3 linked regions of the Rhinolophus ferrumequinum genome follow. The protein of the gene in region 1 interacts with the protein of each later gene in a biochemical or structural test. Links are inferred from orthologs where the notes say so. Each region holds a gene or a part of one and is shown on either strand. Other genes may lie near its edges. The genes, in order: CEBPA, PARP1 and SMARCA4.

The links.
Region 2: the proteins of CEBPA (region 1) and PARP1 form a complex in vitro, tested with the Homo sapiens proteins (2 studies listed by BioGRID, with this or other methods). The link is inferred for Rhinolophus ferrumequinum from reciprocal best matches to the Homo sapiens genes CEBPA and PARP1.
Region 3: the proteins of CEBPA (region 1) and SMARCA4 form a complex in vitro, tested with the Homo sapiens proteins (2 studies listed by BioGRID, with this or other methods). The link is inferred for Rhinolophus ferrumequinum from reciprocal best matches to the Homo sapiens genes CEBPA and SMARCA4.

Annotation. Positions count from the first base shown.
Region 1 is NC_046298.1:34,512,905-34,516,722, reverse strand, and holds the start of CEBPA (CCAAT/enhancer-binding protein alpha), read left to right. Parts: upstream 1-863; 5' UTR 864-1,837; coding exon 1,838-2,902; 3' UTR 2,903-3,818. UniProt on the Homo sapiens protein: Transcription factor that coordinates proliferation arrest and the differentiation of myeloid progenitors, adipocytes, hepatocytes, and cells of the lung and the placenta.
Region 2 is NC_046310.1:14,340,523-14,344,340, reverse strand, and holds the start of PARP1 (poly [ADP-ribose] polymerase 1), read left to right. Parts: upstream 1-1,490; 5' UTR 1,491-1,692; coding exon 1,693-1,812; intron 1,813-3,818. UniProt on the Homo sapiens protein: Poly-ADP-ribosyltransferase that mediates poly-ADP-ribosylation of proteins and plays a key role in DNA repair.
Region 3 is NC_046301.1:39,452,661-39,456,260, reverse strand, and holds the start of SMARCA4 (transcription activator BRG1), read left to right. Parts: upstream 1-1,125; 5' UTR 1,126-1,271; intron 1,272-1,292; exon of another isoform or gene 1,293-1,467; intron 1,468-3,600. UniProt on the Homo sapiens protein: ATPase involved in transcriptional activation and repression of select genes by chromatin remodeling (alteration of DNA-nucleosome topology).

The sequences.
Region 1 (3,818 bases):
GAAAGCAGCTCCTCAGGCTCACATTGGTTATTTAGTTAATGTATCTACTTTTACTTCCAGTCCAAAAGCATCAAGCTAAAAATACCTTGTGTCTGACCAAAAAATGAAGCAGTTGGGTCATTAATCATTGGGAATATGTTGAGTAGGAACTTGATTAAAGCACAATGAGAGTCCTCCAGTAAAAGTTGCTTCTTTACTGTGACCACGGCCATGTTTTTGCACGGTGAGATAGGCTTCCACCTTGAGGGTTCCTGGGCAGGTTGTGGTGCCTTGCCAGGCCTTGGAAGGGTGGTGTCTGGAAGAGGGTCTTGACCAGCGCAGCCTCGCGGTTCTCAGGGAGGTACACCTCCATCCAGCACCCAGGCAGCTTTGGGCTTCAGTGTAGGACGTAGTAGGGGCGGTGAGGATGGGGGTAGAGGCTGGAGCGGGCCGGCCCAGGAGGCCCCATGAGAACTCCATATAGAACGCGCGAGGCGCCACGTGGCTGAGGAACGCGCTGCCATAAACCCCTTTCCAGGGCACCAATGAGTGCGGAGGCGGCGCAATGCCCAGGGGCACCCCGGCTTGGCCGCCTTGTTCCCCAGGATCGCGCGAACTCAGCGCCCTGCGAACCACCCAGCAGGTTTCTCCCAGTAGGTGCTCCGACCCTGGTCCTCCGAGACTCCGAGGCCGGGGCTCCCTCGAAACCCTCACTTCCCCCTGGAGCCCACCTGAATGGGGAGTGGGGAAAAAGCAGTGGATTCCAACCCAGTTGACAGTCAGGTCCGCTTCGGGATCCTCCGCCCGGAGGCATGTTCGCCTCCTGTGCGCTCCCTCTCGCCCCGGTACCCCAGCCCCGAAGTCCAACTCCCCCCTTTGCACAGGAAAAAATTGGTGGCCCTGCGCGGAATAGCCGCACCAGCCCCACGCGCCTAGCAACCCTAGAGCTCCGGCTAGGAGAAGTAATTAAAAAGAAAGTTTTCCAGCCCAAGCGAACAGACCAAACAGGTCCTCCAGGCTCTCTGGACGCGGCCTCCTCCTCTTCCCTCCGCTCCCCGCGGGGTCCTAGCGCCCGGCGCTACTGAGCCCGTGGGACTCTGAAGTGCTGCGAGAGGCGGAGCGGTACGTCTGCATGGAATCGGTGGGGTATCCTGGAGATCAGAGATAAAGACGCAAAGTCACCTCGCTCCGGGCTTGGCGGTGCGGTGGTGTACGCTAGGCCTTACCTCCAAAACTGTTCCCTGCCGCTCCCCACCCCGTTCCCGGCCCCTTGTCCACGCCGCGGCTTTCCAAAGACCCTGATCCTGGACAGGACTGATTCTAGCTTTTAAAGCAAGTCCGCGTCACAGTAGCTCAGAGATGAAGACTTGCCCTCCACCAACCCCCGACGCGGCGGCTGGGTGCTGTTGGGCTCCCCTGGCAGTTGGCTGGAAGTGAGTGTCCTGAGGAGGTTAGAAAAGGGGGGCCCGCCGCCGACCACGTGTGCGTGGGGGCGACAACTCGGCCGAGAGTGGGGCATGGCTCGCGGATCACAGCTCTGCTCCTGGCGCTGGAGGCATGAGGTATTGTGTTGCGGCCTCTCTCGCCAGCGCTGCTCTCCTGCCCCACTCACGGTCCCCTCCGGAAGGCAGGCGCTAAGACCCAGGAGGCGCCGCTCGCCGTCGCCAGTAGTCAGACACTAGAGGGCGACCGCTACCCTTAGTATAAATGCGGGGCCCGCGCGGGCCTGGCCATTCGCGACCCGGAGCTGCTGGGGCGCAAGCTAGTAGGGGCTCTTGGTGGGCGGCGGCAGCAGCGGCGCCCCGCGCAGCCTGGAGGCCGCCGAGGCTCGCCATGCCGGGAGGACTCTAGCTCCCCCATGGAGTCGGCCGACTTCTACGAGACGGAGCCGCGGCCCCCGATGAGCAGCCACCTCCAGAGCCCCCAGCACGCGCCCAGCAGCGCCGCCTTTGGCTTTCCGCGGGGCGCTGGCTCCGCGCAGCCCCCAGCCCCACCTGCCGCCCCGGAGCCACTGGGCGGCATCTGCGAACACGAGACGTCCATCGACATCAGCGCCTACATCGACCCGGCCGCCTTCAACGACGAGTTTCTGGCCGACTTGTTCCAGCACAGCCGGCAGCAAGAGAAGGCCAAGGCGGCCGCGGCCCCCGCGGGAGGCGGCGGCGGCGACTTTGACTACCCGGGTGTCCCAGTGGGCCCCGGAGGCGCCGTTATGCCCGGGGGAGCGCACGGCCCCCCTCCCGGCTACGGCTGCACGGCGGCCGGCTACCTGGACGGCAGGCTGGAGCCCCTGTACGAGCGCGTCGCGGCGCCGGCGCTGCGGCCGCTGGTAATCAAGCAGGAACCGCGCGAGGAGGACGAGGCAAAGCAGCTGGCGCTGGCCGGCCTCTTCCCCTACCAGCCGCCGCCGCCGCCGCCACCCCACCCGCACCCGCCGCCCTCGCACCTGGCTGCTCCGCACCTGCAGTTTCAGATCGCGCACTGCGGCCAGACCACCATGCACCTGCAGCCCGGCCACCCCACGCCACCGCCCACGCCAGTGCCCAGCCCGCACCCAGCCCCCGCGCTTGGCGCCTCTGGCCTGCCGGGCCCCGGCGGCGCGCTCAAGGGGCTGGCCGCTGCGCACCCCGACCTCCGCGCGGGCGGCGGCGGCGGCGCGGGCAAAGCCAAGAAGTCGGTGGACAAGAACAGCAACGAGTACCGGGTGCGGCGCGAGCGCAACAACATCGCGGTGCGCAAGAGCCGGGACAAGGCCAAGCAGCGCAACGTGGAGACGCAGCAGAAGGTGCTGGAGCTGACCAGTGACAATGACCGCCTGCGCAAGCGGGTGGAACAACTGAGCCGCGAACTGGACACACTGCGGGGCATCTTCCGCCAGCTGCCCGAGAGCTCCCTGGTCAAGGCCATGGGCAACTGCGCGTGAGGCGCGCCGCGGCGGGACCGCCCTGGGCTGGCCCTTGGCTGGGACCCAGAGAGTGGTTTCGGGTCTCCGAATCTCAAGACTGCCCCAGCCGCGAAAGCCAGGACTAGGAGATTCCGATGCCATATGAAAGCCTGCCCTGTCGCGCATGCCCCTTGCCTTCTTCTGCGTGGGACACGGTGCGTCTAAGATGAGGGGTCAGGCAGTGGTTTCTCCCTGCAAGAGAGGAGAAGCGCGGTAGGGCCGAGCCGGGAGCCCGGCGACTCTAGTATTAAGGAATATTCTTGTGCCTTGGAAATGCAAATTTGCAAACTTACCGCTCCGATTCCTACCAAGTAGGGGGAGCAAATATGTGCCTTGTCATTTTATTTGGAGGGTTCCTGCCTCGTCCAGAGGCTGCAAGGCTGCAGCAGGCCCCCATGAGAGAAGGAGGAGTGCAGGCCCCCAGCAGAAGGAAATTTAAGGGAGCAGAGATCCGACAAGCCAGCCCCAGCTGCTGCTCAGCGCCTGTCCTTGGAGGGGAGGAAACACAGGGATCTGGGGCTTTGAACCTAAGGTCGTTCCCCTAGTTCCACATGAAGGTGGAGGGTCTCTAGTTCCTTGCCTCTCACCTCCCAGCCTGCAACAGGTTGGGCTTCCAGGGCAGAACTTCCTGAGATGGGGGTCACCAAGAGACCCATGGGAGCTCCCACCCCCAGTCAGACCAGAAAGCCAGGTGTGGGTTAGCTATAAGGACATATGTTCATGGGAGTGTTGGTCTGGTGGAAGAGGGGAACTAGAGGTCCTGCGGTCTGGGGATTGGGGAAGGGGTGAAGGGACACTGGGACCATCAGCCATGTCTGTACTATATGTCGCCAGCATTGGCATACAAACATGAAGCACAGTCAGTCCATCCCAGAGGGACCCAAGTTATGAACAG
Region 2 (3,818 bases), on another chromosome or scaffold:
TCAGAGATGAATTGGATGTTGGACAGAAGAGAAAAGGAGTCAAGTTGATTCCAGGAGTTTGACCTAAGCAATGCAGAGAACCATGAACCATTCCCTGAGACGAGAAACAGTGGAGGAGGTTTTGGACATCATTGGGGAAGAATATAAGACATCCAAATAAAAATATTGAGAAGGCAGTTGGGTATCGCTCGCTCTCCTTAGGGGTCTAGGGCAGGAATCCTTAACCTTGGTGTGTGTGCTCAGGACCCCCTTGTCTGTCCAATGAAGTCTATGGTCCTCTAATGCAATGGTAGCTTCCAGATACAGTATCAGGCAAACTGTGTCAGAAGTCACAAAACAGAAAGCCTCCCAGACCAGATTAAGATGCCTGAATTACACGGATTATTACATCAGTTCGAAACACCTGATTTAAACCTCCTGCGGCGAGGGGAATAACGTGGGGCAGAAAACACACATAGGACAGGACAGAGGCAAGGTGGAAGGACCACACCATGGAAACACCAAGTTATGCAATGTTCATAAGTTTTCTCTCTGCTGCATCAGCCAGCCCCACTGATGGTAGGGTTACAAAGACCAGAGCTGAGGATGCTCGAGGCTACTCAACAGAGTACTGAAGCCAACTCACAGTCACCTGTCAGAGAGACACAAGGAGAAGTATGCCTGGCCACAGATGTAGCTCACCAATCAGCTTGCAGAACACACACGGGTTTTATCTGCTGTTTTGGGGCGGAGCATATGGGAGCCAGAATCAGACCATAATATTACCACCAAGGAGAGGCCCAGAAGTCAAATGATCAGATTATCCTCTAAGCAAAATTCTTTTATTTGTTCCATCCTGTATTCCCCTTATTGTATTTACCTTCAACATATCTAACAGGTCACTTACCGTATTTAGGGTTCTTGCCTATGTCTCACAACATAATTGCCTACGTCAGTATCATGTCTCTTAAGCTACTAACTTTCTTCTTCTCTATGCTTAACATGTCTTACGAGTTTCATTCATCCTGTTTTTTCTTGTCCTCTACAGCACACCCCATTATGTTTTAAATGAATAGAACAAAATGTATAGGATTAAAAAAGGACGCAGTTATATAATATAGTTCTATAACAAAAAAATAACAAAATCTAAATAAAAATCTAGTAGCAACCGATCTTCTGACTATTGCAATTTCAAGTAGTGATGAGTTTCACAATTATTGAGTTGTTTCCAACAACTGTAAAGTGACGCGCTCATTGAAAGGGAATGAAGGTAGAATTAGTTGGGAGAGTATGTAAGCCTCCCAGGGGACAAAATGGTTAATGAGGTGGCGTCCGGTCCTTCCCATAGGTGCACAGGCGGTACCAGCCCAGGCTCTGCCGGCAGCAGCAGCCAGCTGAGCTCGCGCAGCCGCAGGCGCGGGGCAAGAACCGCCCGCCGCGGTCGGCAGAGGGCGCGCGTGCGGGCGGCCCCGCCCCTTAAACGCGTGCGCCGGGGGCGTTCCCGCCACCAGGCATCAGCAATCTATCCGCGAGCGGCGGGTGGTCGGCGCGGCGTGTTCGGCGACGGCTCTGGGTGCTCGGGCTCCTGCAGAGAGCAGACTGACGGACGGACGCACGCACGCACGCACGCACGCGCGGGGTGGAGAGGCGGTGGCAGCGGGTCTCCAGGGGGCGGCGTCGGGCTCCCGGAGCTGCAGCAGCACGAGGAGTACGATGGCGGAGTCCTCGGACAAGCTCTACCGGGTCGAGTATGCGAAGAGCGGGCGCGCCTCCTGCAAGAAATGCAGCGAGAGCATCCCCAAGGACTCGCTCCGTATGGCCATCATGGTGCAGGTGCGGGCGGGAGGGCCGCTTTGTGCGCGGCGGGGCTTCCGTCTCCGGGAGGAGTGGGGGAGGGCTTGCCCGGAGCAGCGGGCCGGGCCGGTCCCTCGGACCCTTGGCGAGGCCTGTAGGCGCTGCTGCTGCTCGTCCAGCGTGTGGCCCACGGGGCGGACCCTCCGGAAGATTTCGCTGATCTTGCAGGAAAAGCCCGGGAAATACAGTCTGGAACTGGTGGTGCCTTTTGTTTTGTAAAAATAAGGAACCGCTTCTATTACCGTTAGTCTCTGGCGGAAAAAAATGTGTGCGTGGCCTTTTGAGGCTCTTCTGATTTTGACCTAGCTTGTTCTGGAAGATTTTTGCTCTGCATTGATGGCGGCCACTGACATGGGAGGATTTTTTTTTTTAAAAAAAACGCCTATTTTGGGCTATCATTTCAACAGTCGCTCACCCTCATTTTTAAAAGTTATGCAAAACTATGCAATTCTGTGTCATAATCTGTACAGTGCATTCACTTTCTGCCCGATTTGTGGTTTAAAATAACATTTCCCCCAACTTCCTCGCTTCATAGTTGCATCTCTTGATGCATTTGCAGCTTATGGGGTTTGAGTAAGTGGCTTGGTGTTGGGGGGGGGTTCCTCTTCGGGACTTATTGACAGATTGGGGATCCCCGTCCGGGGTTTCCTAAGGCTTGGGAGATGCCCGTGGGTGCTGGGAGTCCTCTATGAGACGGTGTGTTTGTAGGCCCTTGCCAAGGGGGTGCCTGACTCCTCCAGCTTCCAGTTGGCTCCTGTTTGCTTGGGTGGTCTTGGTTCTCACCTGCCCTGTCTCCCCATCTCCAACATAAAGCTGTCTGTTGTCCCACCTTAGTGTTCACGGTCAAGGTAACTTGACTTTTCCCCCCATGGTGAGGCAGAAATGTGTTTTAGGAATGAGGGGAGCGCCTTCACCGGATTTTCAATAGTACTTAAAAATTGAAGGGGTGGAGGGGAGTGGGTGCCAAGGTTATCTCATTTCGTGATGTGGCAGGAATTGGGGCTGTCATCTTGTTATCTTCGGCACCTGGCACATAGTACTTACTCATTCAATAAACACTAGGAGGTTCCAGGCTCCATGTCGGGTACTAGGGGCACTCCATCCCAGGGAGCTTCCTGTTTGGTTAAAGGGAAGATGACTGGTAAACATTGCTCTCCAGGGGTGGATGTCACCTGATGGAGCTGTGCCCTAGGCATTGTTTGCCCATCTTGGGAGCTTGGTTAGGAGTCTATTCCCAGAAGTGGCAGGAAATCAAGGTTGGAATAGCAGACAAGGCCTGCCAACTGAATTGCCACATCTCCCACGAAGCATCTTTGAGCCTCGCTGGGGCCCGGGATGTGAATAGAAGGTCTAGTGAGTTTAGAGAACAAATTTACATCTCAATCGTCACTAACCTCTAGATAAAAGTCATTACCTCCCATTATGAGTGTAAGCCACAAAGGCATCTTAGTAGTACTTGTGATTTTTGTCACCAATGGTAATTACAGATATTTTCATATCACTTTACATTGGTTGGGGGATTTCTCTACATATCATTTACCATTTATGCTCATCACTGCTTCAAAATTACAGTAGCTATGAGAGTGAGTATTAGATCTTGTTACTTAATGCTTTCAAGCTCATGAGTTACTGTTTCACTATAAACTTTTAAGAAACTGTTTTGGAAATTATTTCAATATAATTGGTTTTCTTTGTGAGCCTCTGTCTTTTGTCACGTGTTTTTAAATGTTTTTCTGAGAAAGGGACATCCATAGTCTTCCCCCGGCAGCCACAGAAGACCCTGTTTTGTGGAGGACGGACAGAAACCTAAGTAGCCAGTGTGATGAGGCAGGGACACAGAGGAGGGAGAACTCTGTCTGGGGGAGTCTGGGGTGGCTCCATTGAGGAATCAACTTCTGAACCTAATGAAGTTTAACTGGGGCCTCTTTCAGCATACTTGACAGTGAAGGAAATTATTGTGACAAGTAAGTTTGGTTTTCTGTAAT
Region 3 (3,600 bases), on another chromosome or scaffold:
TATTTCCATTTTACAGGTGAAGAAAGGGTAGTGTACATGAGTCCAATAAACTTGCCTGGCACCCACCAGCTACTAACATAGAGTCAGGTTTTAAATCCAGGTCTTTCTGATTCCAGTGTGCGATCTCCTCTTCTACTCTACGCTACAAAGCATGCTAGCGATGCTGGGTATTCACTAATGACTAAAATTAACTTCTTTGTCATTTAAATTGAGGGAAGGGAGACAGACAGCAGAAAAGAGGGTACCCAAGAAATGTGAAGGGAAAAGGAGTCAGTGGTCAAAAAGGAGGCGAGGCTTGAGTTGGTGAATCAGCTGACACCTAAAAAATGAAGAGCAGGATAAAGAGGCAAGGTGGGGAGAGTCACGGGCTGTGGAACCTGACCTTGGGGAGCGTTTGTCCAGTTGGGGGACTAAATGAGGTGGCACTGGAGATACTTTCAGAACACAGAAGAGGCCGCCTAGAGTTCTGGGCCTTCACACTAGGAACAAGGCTCTCTCACTGCTTTGATGTCGACTCAAATGTCTTCTTCGCATCGGGCCCTTCCCTGGCTGTCCCATTTAAAATGTTCACGACCCAAGATGTCTCTGTCTCAACACAACGTATTTTACTTATTTCTCTTGTCTCTCACTTGCCTCCCTTACTAGACCGTGAGCACCACAGCGGTCTGAGATTTTTGTCTGTTCTGTGCCGCTGCACTTGCGCCTGGGACACAGGAGCAGGTTAATAAATATTTGCTAAACTAATTAATAGAACTAGGTAGGCAGAAAAGACAGGTATGGTGGGGGCCCACCTGGCTTCGCAACAGGCCCCGCCATCCCCCTACCAGGGATGAAAGCGATTCTCAGGCCCGCGCTTGGCCGACTTTGCTCAACCTCAGTCCAGCTTCACGCACAGGGCCTCAGGTCCTCATTCCGACTATCACGACCACTCGGCCATCCCTTCCCTGCAGACGCCACCGCCTCCCCGTCCCATCCCCCAACGTGCCGTCGCCGCCGCCACCACCGCCGCAGTGGCGCCCGCTCTGCGCACGCTCGGCGGCGTCGGGACGCGCGACGTGCGGAAGAAGAAGACGCCTGTGCGCAAGCGCAGGACCTTCCTGGAAATCGGTGGGAGGTGCGTCGGGCGCGTACGCTCTCTCTGGTCCGGCCCACCTCCCCTAGCCCTCGTCCCACGCGCACGCGCGCTGGAAGCGGAAGGGCGGGCGGGCGCGCGCACGAGGCCGGGCGGGCGGCGGAAGCGAGAGAGGCCGTCCGTGGGGGGGAGGAAGCCGGTGAGTGCGCGCGCAGCGGGGACGCGGGAGGCGTGGGGGGGCGGCCGAGGCGGGCGCGCGCACGAGGCTTACTCTCGCTCGGTGGCGGCGGCGGCTTCTTTGTTTCGTGAGGAGAGGCGAGAAGCTTACTCTGCCTCCGGCCCCGCTCGGAGGGTCGGGGGCGGTGCCGGGAAGGCGGCGGTGCCGGCGGCTCCCGGTAAGGAACGCGGGCCGCGGGGGGAGCGCCGCGCGGGGCTTGGGAGGGTGGTTTGAATGGAGCCGGGGGGCCGAGGGGGGAGGGGGCCACTGGCGCCCAGAGCAGGGCTGGGGTACGGCGGCGCCCGAGGGTCAAGAAGCCCGTCCGGCACCGCGCGCGCGGGGAAAGCCACAGTGTAGCGAGGCCGCGGCGGCTGTAGCATCCGCGCGGGCGGGTGGGGTGGGGGCCCGGGCCGCGTGGAGGCCGCGCGACCCCCGCGCGCGCTCTCGCCAGGGTCGCGGGACAAAGCTTGCTGCCCCCTTGGCGGGCCAGGGGTCTCTGCGGCGGCTGCAACAATAGCCGGGCTTCGGGGATTTTCTGGCTATGTTGTAAAAGGTCCGAACCGAATATTGCCCTTTAGGGAGGCTGTGATCGAGGCTCCGTAAGAAAAAACCCAGATGTGTCCAGTGCCTCCTGGCAGCACCCCTGGGTTAGCCGACCTAAGATTTTATTTTAAAAATCACTTATTCTAGGTTTTCAAGGAAAGGTAAATGACTTGGCCCATCCCTTGCAAGTAGTGACTTCAAAATGTTTGCCCTGAGTGGTCGACAGCAAGTGGAGGAGGACCGGCACTGTTTGCTGTTGAAAGCATTGTATTTGTTTTGCATCCTTTTCCCTTCCTCCCAATTGATTTTCCAGATGAAGGCTTTTATTTAAAACATGGTCCTTTAAGAGAGTGTTTTGACGGTCTTGAAGACACCAGTCTTGATTTTTATTTTTTTCTCCCAGTGAATCCTTGGAAAAGTAGGGAATAAATAAGTGTAAGAGCCACTTCCCAGGAATTTGAAACAAGTTTTCAGTTTGAATTGACAGACGGAATTAGGGTTTCATTGCTGGCGCTGTCAGTCACTTAGCTGTGTGACTTTAGGCAAATAGTTTAATCTCTGTACCTCTTAGATTCCTCCTTTGTGAAATGGGAATAATGTCACAAATGGAGCTGGTGAAAACCTGAAAAATGGTTCCTGGGAAGTGAGAAGCCCTGTTGTTACTGTCTGGTTCAATCTCCTTCTTCATTGTTCAGCAAATATCCATTGAGTCCCTAACTGGGTGTCAGATGGTTGGTGGTTGGATGCCCTGAGGAGCCTCTCCAGTCTTGTAGGAGAACAGGTGGTAAATGTGGGAACTACTCCCCTTGGCCTTTCATTTAATCCTCACAACTCTTACTGTGAAAGGAACACAGTGGATACCCAGGGGAGTAGCTGGAGCCTGAGATCAAGGAGGCTGCCTGGAAGAGGGGGCCTCTACTCGAGTCAGGGAGGATGTCCAGGCTTGGCTTTTGACTGCCCTGTAATAGTCATTGTTCCCTCTGCTACACTCGCACGTTGCCTTGGTCCTTTCCTGTGTAGACGTTCACTCCGGGTTGTAATTCCACATCCAGTCTTCTCTGAGGGCCATCAGAGTAGGGTGCTGTCTCCCGCAGTGTTCTTTGGGCCTGGCACATGGTAGGCCCTTAGCAAAACGTTTGTGCAATGAGTGAAGGGCCCTTGGGAGGATTGAGTGAACATGTGCGTGAAATGCTTGGTACAGGACTGATTAGTGGTGGGTTGTAAGCAGGAAACATTTTAGTTGTTGTTGGTTTTTAACTTTCTAGGCTATTGTTTCCCAAACCTCATTCCCCCAGAAGGAGGGTGTGGGTTGGTAGTTAGTGTGGAATGGTGGTGAGGAGTGCTGTTCTGGAATCAGACCTCCTGGATTCTAAATCTTAGCTTGACCTTGAGCAAGGTACTTATCAGTGGGTCCCCCCCAACTTGTGAAACAGGCATGACAGTGATGCCACCTCAAACGGTGGTTGTGAGGATTGAATGAGGTAACATACCGTGTTTCCCCGAAAATAAGACCTAGCCGGACAGTCAGCGCTAATGCGCCTTGTGGAGCAACAATTAATATAAGACCCGGTATATATTATATTAGACCCGGTCTTATAGTAAAATAAGACCGGGTCTTATATTAATTTTTGCTCCACAAGGCGCATTAGCGCTGACTGTCCGGCTAGGTCTTATTTTCGGGGAAACACGGTTTGAAGCTGCTTAACACACTGCAGCACCCGGCATATGGTGAGCTAGTTATATGTATTTTACTAATTTGCCTTACAAT